Caenorhabditis elegans: one gene and its partner. The protein of the gene in region 2 purifies or fractionates together with the protein of the main gene of each other region. This does not show direct contact. Each region holds a gene or a part of one and is shown on either strand. Other genes may lie near its edges.

Region 1 (7,649 bases), 5.0 Mb from region 2:
CGGAAAAGGAAGTCAATATTTCGGCCAACGTCACTTTGCGTCGTAGTCGTCGGGGTCAGTCAACAGAGCCACCAGTCGTGAAAGAGAATTCTAATCGAAAACGGAAATCTGTTGACGAGGAAGAGGAAAATGTGCCAACAAGTTCATCTGGTAACACTGAAAATGATCCACTGTCACGCGGAGTGACTCCGTTGATTTTCGATGAAAGTAAGCTTGGTGCAGGACGTCATTGTTCAACTCCGATTCGATCACGAGAAGACGCAGATCCAAGCGATGTCACATTCTCCCTTAATTTGTCGGCTATTACCGAAAAGGAAGACTTGAAAAACAGAAGTAAGGTATTCACAATTTCTTGAATTTACAAAACGCCTTAATTTTACAGAAAGTCAAGCTTATCACCTTCACAATATCTTCGAAGAGGATGAAGAGGAAAGCTGATCAATGTCATTGTATAAATCTTCCATCGAAATTTGTCTTATTTATCTCAACTGTTTGTATTATTGTAAGATTGTCCGCTGTTTTTTCATTAAATTAATCTGTTCCTTTTATTATCTGTAATGGGATTGCAGTCAACTACCAGAAAAGAAGCATTTAATTCACAAGTACATTGATAGATGCATTAGGTGTATCTTTAGGCTGGGAAAACAATACAATCGTTACAAGTTAATCTTGTCGAGATGATAGTGTTGATAAAACTGGTTCCATTTTAATACATTAACAGATCAGTTCACTTTTTGCGAATTTCCTTCACAGCTCCTCCCATATCAGTTGCGATTTTGCCAATTTCCGTTTTGATTCTGTCTTGAAATTCGACACCAAGTGTCTGAAAATGATATTTTTCAAAATAGATTTCAATAGAAAAAGAATTTCATACCGGGATGGCGGATTTTGTCAGTTTCAGTTCCTTTTTGTACTTCTTGATTTGCTCCTCAAGCATCAAGTTATCCTGATGCAATTGTCCGAGATCTGTGATCAGTTGATCGACGGTCTCGTTCTTCCAATTGGACATATCGATTCCTTTGAATAGAATGAGCTTCTGATGGAGGAAATCGCGAAGAACTCTGGATTCATTGATGACGTTGCCAATCGTCTCCTTAAGCTCTGGACCCATTCCTGACATATTGTGAGTCTTCTTGAGTTTCTGAACAATTGCGTCGACAGCCATAGTTGATTCGTGGAGCAATTGTCGAGTAGGGCTCGTGTAATCTGGAGAATTGGTGAAAATTCAACTTCTGATGTGCATAAGTATGACTTACGAGGTTGAGCACACTTTTGATTCGATGTTTTAGTAGGCATGCCACTGACCGATGTTCCAACTGGTGGGACATTCTCGTTATTAGAGCTCATCATTTTCAGCTCATGTTCGAGAGCATCTTTCTCTAATTGAAGCTTTTCAATTTTTTCATTGACGTCTCTCATAACTTTCGCGTATTCATGCTGTTGCTCTCGTTCCCTGGAAAGACGACGACAGAGTTCATCGCAAACGAGTTGAATCGATGAGATGTTGCTGAAAATGTTCTCAAATAAAAAAAAACAAGCACGACGTTTGATAATACCTTGGGATAATCTTGGCTTTCAAAGTCTTCTTGGTTAGCTCAGATATCTCCTTACTGATACGTTCCAATCCTACAATAGCGGCATTCTCAAAATCTTCGCGATACTTCGCCAACTCAATTTCCTTCTTTCTTTCTGTCATCTTCGTAGAACAATAGTCGGCCGCAATTTCTGAAGTCGACAACTTCTCCATCTCAGTCTCCAAATGAACAATTCTTTCAAGCATTTCAGATTTCTCGGATGAAGCATGTTCAACTTTATTTTCCGCCTCTTTTGTTCTCATTCTCCACCCATTCAATTCTTCACTCAACTCATCTGCTAGATTTTGGGATTTTTTTTCTTCCTCCAGCGCGGTAGATAACTCGCTTTTCAAGAATTCATCGCTCTTCTTTGCTTCATTCAATCGCATCCCCATATCAGTAATGGTTTTCTTGAGCTCATTTTCCTCATGTTTTAGAGAACTGATGAGCTGACGAGCCTCTTCCAATGCATTTTCAGCTTTGACACGAGTCTCCTGTTCACCATCCACACGAGCCAACGCTTCATTGAGCTCGCATCGCACTTCTCCAAGCTTAGAATTAACTTGATGGAGATTGGCTTCGAGTTCAGCAAATTGACTTTTCAATGTAGAATTTTCCTCTTTAGCCTTTTGTAGCGTTGCTTCAGATACTTCGAGATCTTCAAACATGCGATTGGTGTTGATCTGCACATCCGACAATCTTCCAGACGAACCGTTCAATGGAGATCTCATATCTCGTGTACGAGCCATCTCCAATTCATTTTTCAACTCCGATACCTCATTCTGAAGCTTTTCCACTATGTCTGAATTGCTTGTAAACTTGAAGAGTGGACTATACGAGGCATTGAGAAGAGAAGATGAGGCGACATCTGGAAAATATTGATTTATGAGCGTCTCTAAAATTTATATTACCTTCAGCATCGGGTGCAATAGTGAATCTTCTCGAAGCTTCCGCAGCCTGACTAACTATCGACTTCTCGAGAATTGAGAAATTGAGTGACATATTATGAAGATCCTTCTCCGCTGCTTCCAAGATGGCAGATACATTGAGCTTGTCGTTAATACTTGTTTCAAATGCGAGCTTCATTTTCTTGATCTTATCCGCATTTGGATCACTGGATCCCATCTACAAAAAACTCAGATTTACAGATTCACAACTTGACAGTTTTCATACCCTTTCAAGAATCTCTTCAAAAAGAGCAGCAGAAGATTTAAGTCTTTCGAAAAGTCGAGCAAGAGCCTCTCTGATCTGGGACATTTTCTCTTGCATTTGCTCAACATTTACAGCTACATCATGCTGGCCTTCAAGGAACATTGCAGAAGAATCCAGAATTTGTTGCATATCGTGCAGAATTGGAATGTGACTTTGTGACACGTGAGGAGAAGCAGTCTTCGTAGAAAACGAATTATTCTGTATTTGTTCGCCAGCTCCCTCGGATTGATGGCTCTTCAGGTGAAGATGAAGTGATTTTGGTTTCTGCATTACAATCGGAGAATTCTTGAAAGACTTCTGACTGAGGAACGATTGAGTTGCATCTCTACCAGGTGGTGGCATTGACGAATTGAAGGAACCTAACAATAATCAATTTCAAAAAATCTAGGAATCAATTTTACTACCTTCAAGGGTGTCATTATGGTTGTTCTGCAGGCTGTCTTTCACTGACTCGAAATCTTCCCACATGGAGGCAAATTGTTGCTGCTAAATATTCAAGACTTTATTTTAAATAATAATTTTCATACACTTACATTTCGAACAGCAGATGATGTATCCATGAGCGGCAATTTGCTTTCTTCAAGATCATCTAATTGACTTTCTCTGGGAAGAATGCGCATCGATGTTCCGCCAGTCTCATTTCCTTGTCCAATGCTATCGACATCATTAGTCGCAATACCAGCCATCAGTCGACTTTGTCCCAGTGAAATGCTAAGATTTCCATCGCCTCCGGTCAATTGATCACAACGAATGCGGAGTTCTCGATTTTCAGCTCTCAACACATTCAATTCACCGTTCACCTTTCCTATTTGGATTTTAAGCTCGTCGGATGTCTGACCACCAAGCAACATGGAAGAAGAATCAAATGTCGAATTTTTAACCATGGTTCGAATCTCGTGCTCAAGCTTGCTACACTTGTTCATGTATTCAACGAGTGCCTGACGAGCCTTATCATTTTCCTTCTTCGCATCAGCTAACTTCGTTTCAAGATCATCAATGTAATTGAGCTGGTCTCGCGTCTGTGATTCACGACCGTTCCCGATCATGAACGTTGAATTTGGAACCATAGCGTTTCCAGCAGCTCCGAGGATTCCTTGTCCAGTGGCCGCTTCAAGCTGAGCGCGAACATTTTCTGAATCGGCAAGCCTTGCAGATTGGTCGTCAAGTTCTTGACGGAGCTGCTGAATGTGATCTTCCAGCTCAGCTACCTTGTCGATCTCAGAGAGGAGCTTTGCCTCCAGGTCGTTGATCTTTCTTTCTTCATAACCAGAGGTTAATGTGAAATCTGGATCGTTTTTCTTCAGAATGTCATCAAGAGTTCCACGAAAAGATCCGACAGTTGTGTTGTTTGCATCAGTAGCGGACAATTCCAGTTCCTTGATTCTTTCCTCCATTGCATGCTTTTGTGCCTCAAATTCTTTCATCTGTCTGGCAAAATTGTCTTCGGAAGTTTCAATTCTCGATTGCATTGCTAGCAAATCCTCTTCCATCAGTTTGTATTGCTCCATTTTCTCTTGAACATTTTCTTGGCCTAATTTGAGATCGACATAATCGTCCATAACTTCCTTAACTCTCTTCTGCGACGCTTCCTTTGCCTCACTATACCGGCGCTGATACATTTGCAGTTCTCCCTACAAACTCAAATCATTTCTAAATAAGCATATGATAAATTACTTACTCTCAGGATAGTTATTTTTGTTTTAAGCGCTTTGTTTTCTTCCCATGTTTGGATGATGGGGATGCTACGAACATCAGCAGACGAAAATGCTCCTGACAATACTTGCTGTTGAGTGGCACTGGTCGAAGACGTTCTTTTGTCTCCTTCAACATTCAGAACTGGTTGCGACATAGATCTTCGTGGCTGGCCTAAAAAACCTTTGCATTTATGCAGTTATTGATTTTAAATGTTATAATTACCCTCGACATGCTCGAGATTGGAGTCCTCGTTGAGCACAGAATTATCCTCCATTTAACGCGAAGTTTTCTGAAACAAGAAACGGGTTCGAAAACAAAATTGAGCGTTTTTTTGGGATTAAGAGTTTTGAGTCAAAATGAACAGGAGGTTGCAAAATTTGAAGCTTCAGCACCGTTCTTTGGGCGTGCATAATCATGAAAAACAAGTGCGGACCAACTTTTGTTACTATGGAAACGTAAGAATTTCGCGGACGCGGAGAAAATTCAAAATTCACGTTTAGGCGCGCGTTTTTCTGAGGCCCCACGAAAAGGGGAGCAGAACGAAAAGGGGATCTGCAAAAAGGGGAGATACGAAAAGGGGAGCAACGAAAAGGGGAGCTGGCACTGTGCCAAACGCACAAAACGCAATTTTTCTCACGCAACGCACGTTGATTTTTGAAATTTTCTTCTAGAAGATACGCTTAACAACACGCGACGCGTAACATCGGAGCCGATGCACCATGTTTCGGATCGGTATAGGTTCAAAAGTGGTAGAATTATATAATTTATTACTGATAAATCCGTTAAATGATAAAAATGAGAAAGCTCATATATTTAACATGCGACCTGCCGGTCCAAGAGTAAAACGAAGAAGTGACGATTTCCTTGCGTGGTGTCGACGTGTTGGGGTTTGATGTGCATGTGTGGTAGTACTGTAACACGCGTGACGTGTGTGTCTTTTGGCGCGGCTTTCAAACAGGAGTTTCCCGGCTTTGTCATTGTTGATGACTCAGTATTCTGCGTATTCGCGACAATCGTTGTATCGTTTTCTTCGAGAAAAATAGCGTTTGGCACAGTGCCAGATCCCCTTTTCGTTGCTCCCCTTTTCGTATCTCCCCTTTTCGTATCTCCCCTTTTCGCAGATCCCCTTTTTGCAGATCCCCTTTTCGTGGGGCCTCGTTTTTCTTGACAGAGAAAAAGTGTGCGCATGTTGCGAAATACCATGCGGCGGTATTGCTCATGCAGCCACGCCCCTTATTTTTGAATTCGAATGGAGCTCCATATGGAGGCGTTTTCGGCTCAATTCATCATTGTTTTGTAAAATTTTACATCGCAAAGTGTCAAAATATGAAGCTTATTGTAAAAACTCACAAATTTCTAACAAGTTTTTCTTTGAATCCAATGAGAACCTTCTCGATAAGTGATTAAAATTTAAAGTGAATTGTTTTCTTCCATTTTTTCACGTATAAAAAAACGTATAAAAAACAAGTAAAACAAGTTCACGCCAATGAAAAATTGTTTTTAACGATATTTAAATATTTTTGAACGTGTTTATTTCATCTCCATATTTCTCTTTTGCTTTAACATCGTGTTTTATGCTTAATTTCAGATGGAGCTGGTTTACGGGTCGGAAATCAGCTTCACGGATGGATTTGCTATAAAGCCGGCTAGAACTTTTGTGGTAAACACCAGTAAGTTTCAATTTCATTAAATAATTGTTTCTACAACAAATTTCACTTTTTTAGATGCGCCGCTTCATTCGAATGGATTTGATGTGCAACCGTCCGCAGGAGTTGCAACATTTCCGCACTGCTCAAATTACGGCGATCGGATTTTCCTGTGGCGTGCGATTGGCCAGAAACTGTTCATTGAGGAGCGTTCTTTGCTCTACTCAATCACGGATGGATCGTTGTGCATTGACTTCACACGCACACCTATTATTCCTGGAACATCGATAACAATTTTCGAGGAAGGGGTTTTATGTATTGTCGTTCCCACAGCTTCTGCAATTCATCGTTTCTACGCGAGACTCCACTCCAAAGGCCATGATGTTTGTTCTCAAAAATTTCCATAATCGAATGAGAATAATTATTTTCAGACGTTCTCAATTCTTGCAAGAATTAAAGAAGATGACGATTTCCGCCGATTCAGAACATCTCACTCCCTTTCAACACCAGGGCGCCCGATTCGTGCAAGTGTTACACATCATCCTTCAAGAAATACGGTATAAAAATGGAAATTGATTACAACCTATATTTCGAATTTTGAATTCAGATTTCTTACTGTACCGCTGAAGGGCAGTTGGTCATTGTCACATTGGGATCATACACGGAATCCAGTGATAAACACGAAGAATTCACAATGGGAGAAGTTGGTCTTCTGGGAAAACTTCTAGGTGGCACTGATAAACGAGTCAGTGATGCATGTGTTATGAAGAATCTTCGCCCGACTTCTGGAGTCACGAGAGAGCGAAAAATTTCAGTCCAATCCGATATTGTGTTCGCTGTTACCAGAGACGGATGGGTGCAAGCATGGAATGTTGAGACGAAAAAACAATTGCCAAGCACTATTGACTTGAATAACTACTTTGCTTCAGACGGAAAATCTTTGAATCGAGATCTAGAATCTGCAGACTTCGAGGAAGAAAAGTCTCCAATGGAACCAACTGAAACTGTATATTCTATCAGAGCTTATTCATTCGATGTGGATATTCTTCTGATTGTTGGATGTGATTTGGCAGTTTCGGGAAAAAGCGTCGGGATGAGAGTTCATATTCTCAAAGTTTCAAATGATCAAATTCAACATCTACAAATGTTCGAAACATCGATGTCCGTTGATGAACGACTTGTTGATCTCGAGCTTATTCAAAACTATTTCCCATCAAAGGAATCGGAAAGTCTTGATGAGACACAAGATGGGTAAGAATCGTTGTTATAAAATGGGTTTTTTTCTTGTCTAAATATAAAATTGTTTCAGGGAATTGTATAATCCTCTCACAGCTGCACTATTTTCACTTTCTGCTCTTTTCAAAAGTTCATCTGCAAAGAAAACCTATTCGATGAAACGGATCTCATTTGCTATCCAATGGAAAAAGGGACGAGTTTTCACAGATTTCGATTGGCATTCCGTTCGTCAGTTCACTTCGCCTGCCACTACCAAAGAAGAACCGATCGGCAATACGGATGAAGT
Region 2 (3,898 bases):
CCGATGTTACGCGTCGCGTGTTGTTTAGCGTTCAAACGAATATTTTTTGAAATTTTCTTCTAGAATTTACGCTTAGCAACACGCGACGCGTAGAGAAAACCGCAGTTGGCACGGTGCCAGATCCTGAAAACGTAGATCTTGTTTTGGCGGATCTTGTTTTCGTAGATCTTGTTTTTGAACAGATCTTGAAAACGTGGTGCCTCTTAATTTATGTTTGCACATCAATTTCCCGAAACACCAACTTCTAGCAAGAAAAACTTGACGTCATGCTCGACTTGCTTCAAGCAAAAGAGGTCCTCAGATAGAAAACAGGATTTGATGTTGAAAATTTATTTTCCGATATAAATACATAACGTCTCAAAATTTATAAAGTGAGTGCAATGATTGTCAAACGTAAGGGGGATGGAACCCGGTGACAAATAATAAACGATTAGTTGTGGATGATTGTTTACATGATTAGATTGGTGTCAGAAGTACAGAAGGCTTCACTGCAACGCGTTGACGATGGTCGAATTGCGTTCACAAATGGAGTACAGCATATACGTGCACGGGTAGAAGTACGTGTATGATGCCGATTCCAGGGATGATGGTGATTTGTAGCTGGCAGCACAATTGGCGAGTGATGACCAACCGTTGAAGAGTGGCTTGTATGGTTTGATGAGCCAGTTGCTGAAAAAATTAAATTTAGAAGCAATCAATTGTTGTTGACAAAACCTACATTTTGGTTGGATTGAGAGCTCCTTCAGTCTGCCATCTTGGCAACTGCTCCAACTTCTCGTAATGGGTGAATCTGACAAGTCCGATCCACGAAAAGAAGGCTTCCTTGGCTTGAACACGAATTGCGTCCCACTCTTCAATCGAATTGGCCACGAACAGTGTTGACTGCTTCTCGAAGCAATTTCTCTCGGCCTTGGCGAATCCAAGAAGCTCCTTCTCGATCCAGTAGCACGAATCGGCGAACCGAAGCCATCCATCGGGACACTTCTCAGTCTGATTGACGAAGGCTGGCGGCTGTCGAGCTGGGAACGAGATGTCTTCGAATGCCGTTGTGCCGAGATCCTTGTAGTCCCAGTTGTAGAACGTCACTGAAATTTGTTACTTTTAACGAAAATTTAAAGATTTCAAAGAAACTTACGTCGTTGATGCGGCTGTTCGTCGTTTTGAACCAATGGTGATGTTTCTGGAGCTTCACCACTAGCTTCAGGAAGCTCGGTTGAAGAAGTCGGAGCTGCATGAACGAGGAATAGCCCAGGAAGGATGAAAGCAACGAGAAGGCAAAAACGCATGATGAGCAGTGAAGACTGAGGAAATGAACGTTTCGTTCTCCTTTTATGCACATTTTTGCCGCCGTTTCCTGAAATTTTCACAAATGCGCGCCGCTAATAGACAGAGATCAAATAATAATTTCAAAACAAATCAAGTCTAGAAATATCCTAAACTTCATTTCTGAACTGGTGTTATGAATTTGAAGCACGGATGATGGTTTAAATGTTCTGTAGCACACTGCAGATTTTCATTTATGAAAATATTTAACTTTTAAAAGGGCAAGATCTTGTTTTAAAAAATTGTAATTAATTTTGAAAATTATATTTTGAATAGCCGCCCTTGATATTAACAAAATATGCAGTGGAGCGCACTTAATGCGCCCATTTTCAACAGAAAATAACGCTCGAGATTCGAATTCAATTCTCTCCTCCCTTGCAATTTTCGTGTCACTATGCCAACCGACGAACCTTCGAAGCGAAAATCCATTTTACCAACGATTCCAACATCCCTGATGTTGAAGAAAAGTAACGAAGCATTGAGTGACTTCGAACGTGAGTTGGGTTCAGCGAAAATGTATTATTCAGCGGTATTATCTTTCAGGAACATTTAATGATCGAGTTATGGATATATTTGCCGAAAATCGAAGAATAGATGTAGAGGAGTTTAAAAAAAATGCCGAATGCTTTTTAAACATCATTCGATCGAACAAAATCGATTTAAATTGGGGTGAAGGGGGAGAAAGTAGATATGTGACGATAACTCGATTAATGGTAAGGTTCTCGGTGAATTCAATAATTAAGAATGTGCAATTATTCAGAAAATACTCAAAACTTCACCACAATCAATCAAAGATCTACTTCCACATAACACAGTGTCGAATTTCGTTAAAATAACCAATTATAATTTAACAATTGATATCACTCTTTTAGGTTTGTGCAAAGCAGGGAGTTCTTATTATAAAGAATTTGAATTTCAGAGGAGCTTGTACGAACAGTCATTCACGCTGAGGAGTCCTACATCAAACTTCTTCCATTTTCAGAAAATAGCACAGAGATTTCCAGTTATGTAAGTATCTTATTTCTACTCTAAAAGCTATTATCCTGACACTATTTTCAGAGTCTCCAAGACTTTGTGGCCACACATTTTATTCCAATTATGATTGAAGAACCGGAAAATCCTGTCTATTATACAGCTTACGCAGTTGGAACAATATTTTTCCTATTGGGTGCTCGACGGCGAGACTGTGTATATTTGAAGGATTTACTTGCTTCAACACTTCTACTACAACTCGAAGAGTGTATTCATGCAGAGAATCATTGCTTATCACCTCCGAAAATTGATGTGTATGATTTATCAGTGCCATAAATTGCTTCAAAAAGTCTTTTTTCAGATTCACCGTCGCTCAATTTCGAACCACTTTATCAGAATTCCGATTCCTTGACTCCCAACGAAAGGGATTGTTGGCGCCAGCGGACTTGAAATTTTTCAGAGAGTATGAAGAAATTATTTTTCAGTCTATAAATCCTATTTTTCAGCGGAATCTTCAATGAGGTTTTCACCAAGCGAATCTTCGAAATTTCAATAACCTATGAAGATGGACGTATTGATTTCAAAGCGTTCGTTGATTTTGTCACCGCTCTAAAGTTCCGTCATGTAAGCGATTTTTTAATCAGAACCAAAAAATTGTTCTAAAAAATAAATTTCCAGACCACTGCCTCCGCCAAATACCATTTCGAAATTCTGGATCTAAAGGATGATGGACTGTTGGATGAGGAAGAAATTCGATCAATAGTGAGTAAAACTCTCCAAGAACACTTTCTCATCGCTTAAAAGTCATCATTTCAGCTTCAAAACCTGCCAGATTACGTCCCGGAAGATAATAGTGTGAACCCGGAAGTAGCAACTGCCGAACTGAGAGATATGATGCGTCTGAATCAGAATGGAATTACATTGGAAGAGTTTCTTGCTAATCGGATGAACTCGACGTTTGCTGGATTCCTCTCCAATTCCGATGATTACATGAAGTACGAACGACGCGAGCAATAGCAGTCCCGCTAATTTTATTTTTAAAACTATTCTAACCACTCATTTCGGCCTGCAAGGGTAATAAACAGCTTTTGGACCAAACATTTTATGGATGAGACAAGAGGGAGAAAAACGGAAACATAACAAGTTATATTTGAAGTAACAAAAGTATACAAAACATTTGTTTTGGATCAACTCAGGATTATAAATTTAAAGGGGAAACAAAAAGGAAAGCAACAGACAACAGATAAAAAACGAAGTGTAGACGGGGGTGAGAAACAATTTTGGAAACAAATTAACTTAAGGATAAAGTTAAGAAACTAATCGTCAGAGTCAGAGAACTTGATAGAATTAATAGATTGGTTGATTGGACCACCTCCGTAGCTTCCCTTCTTCTTCTTAGTTTTCTCATGACGGAATGCTTTTCCAACAACTTTTCCTAGGCTTTCATTGGCACGCTGTCCCCATTGATCGAAGTGCTGAAAATAAATCGAGTTAAACTTTGTTCGTAGTCGCTATATGTTTACCGAATCATGCTGGTTGTTTCTAAATTTTTCAGAAACGCTATCCTTTGTCATTTGCACGCGTCGGAATGGTGAAGACTTTC

The links. Proteins that work in one complex are often made in the same cells at the same time.
Region 1: the proteins of rsa-1 (region 2) and spd-5 purify together in Caenorhabditis elegans (affinity purification with mass spectrometry; 2 studies listed by BioGRID, with this or other methods). This does not show direct contact.

The regions. Positions count from the first base shown.
Region 1 is NC_003279.8:5,170,767-5,178,415, forward strand, and holds spd-5 (Spindle-defective protein 5), read right to left. Parts: upstream 5,889-7,649; 5' UTR 5,832-5,888; intron 4,771-5,831; 5' UTR 4,756-4,770; coding exon 4,704-4,755; intron 4,653-4,703; coding exon 4,465-4,652; intron 4,418-4,464; coding exon 3,320-4,417; intron 3,273-3,319; coding exon 3,191-3,272; intron 3,146-3,190; coding exon 2,748-3,145; intron 2,700-2,747; coding exon 2,486-2,699; intron 2,443-2,485; coding exon 1,557-2,442; intron 1,508-1,556; coding exon 1,257-1,507; intron 1,207-1,256; coding exon 875-1,206; intron 824-874; coding exon 728-823; 3' UTR 536-727; downstream 1-535. Other genes in the region: Condensin-2 complex subunit hcp-6, read left to right, coding at 1-338, 383-535; npp-6 (NUP160 middle TPR domain-containing protein), read left to right, coding at 6,070-6,151, 6,206-6,510, 6,559-6,684, 6,735-7,378, 7,437-7,649. UniProt on the Caenorhabditis elegans protein: Plays a central role in centrosome maturation and mitotic spindle assembly during the first division of the zygote. Required for the centrosomal localization of air-1 and zyg-9. Probably not required in late embryogenesis and during larval development.
Region 2 is NC_003279.8:10,184,161-10,188,058, forward strand, and holds rsa-1 (Serine/threonine-protein phosphatase 2A regulatory subunit rsa-1), read left to right. Parts: upstream 1-1,695; 5' UTR 1,696-1,717; coding exon 1,718-1,817; intron 1,818-1,866; coding exon 1,867-2,036; intron 2,037-2,083; coding exon 2,084-2,195; intron 2,196-2,242; coding exon 2,243-2,331; intron 2,332-2,382; coding exon 2,383-2,609; intron 2,610-2,656; coding exon 2,657-2,758; intron 2,759-2,801; coding exon 2,802-2,919; intron 2,920-2,973; coding exon 2,974-3,057; intron 3,058-3,099; coding exon 3,100-3,312; 3' UTR 3,313-3,390; downstream 3,391-3,898. Other genes in the region: clec-87 (C-type lectin domain-containing protein 87), read right to left, coding at 486-669, 719-1,085, 1,136-1,286; Nucleolar protein dao-5, read right to left, coding at 3,612-3,770, 3,819-3,898. UniProt on the Caenorhabditis elegans protein: Regulatory subunit of phosphatase let-92 which recruits let-92/paa-1 complex to the centrosomes, thereby regulating microtubule outgrowth from centrosomes and mitotic spindle assembly ensuring the stability of kinetochore microtubules.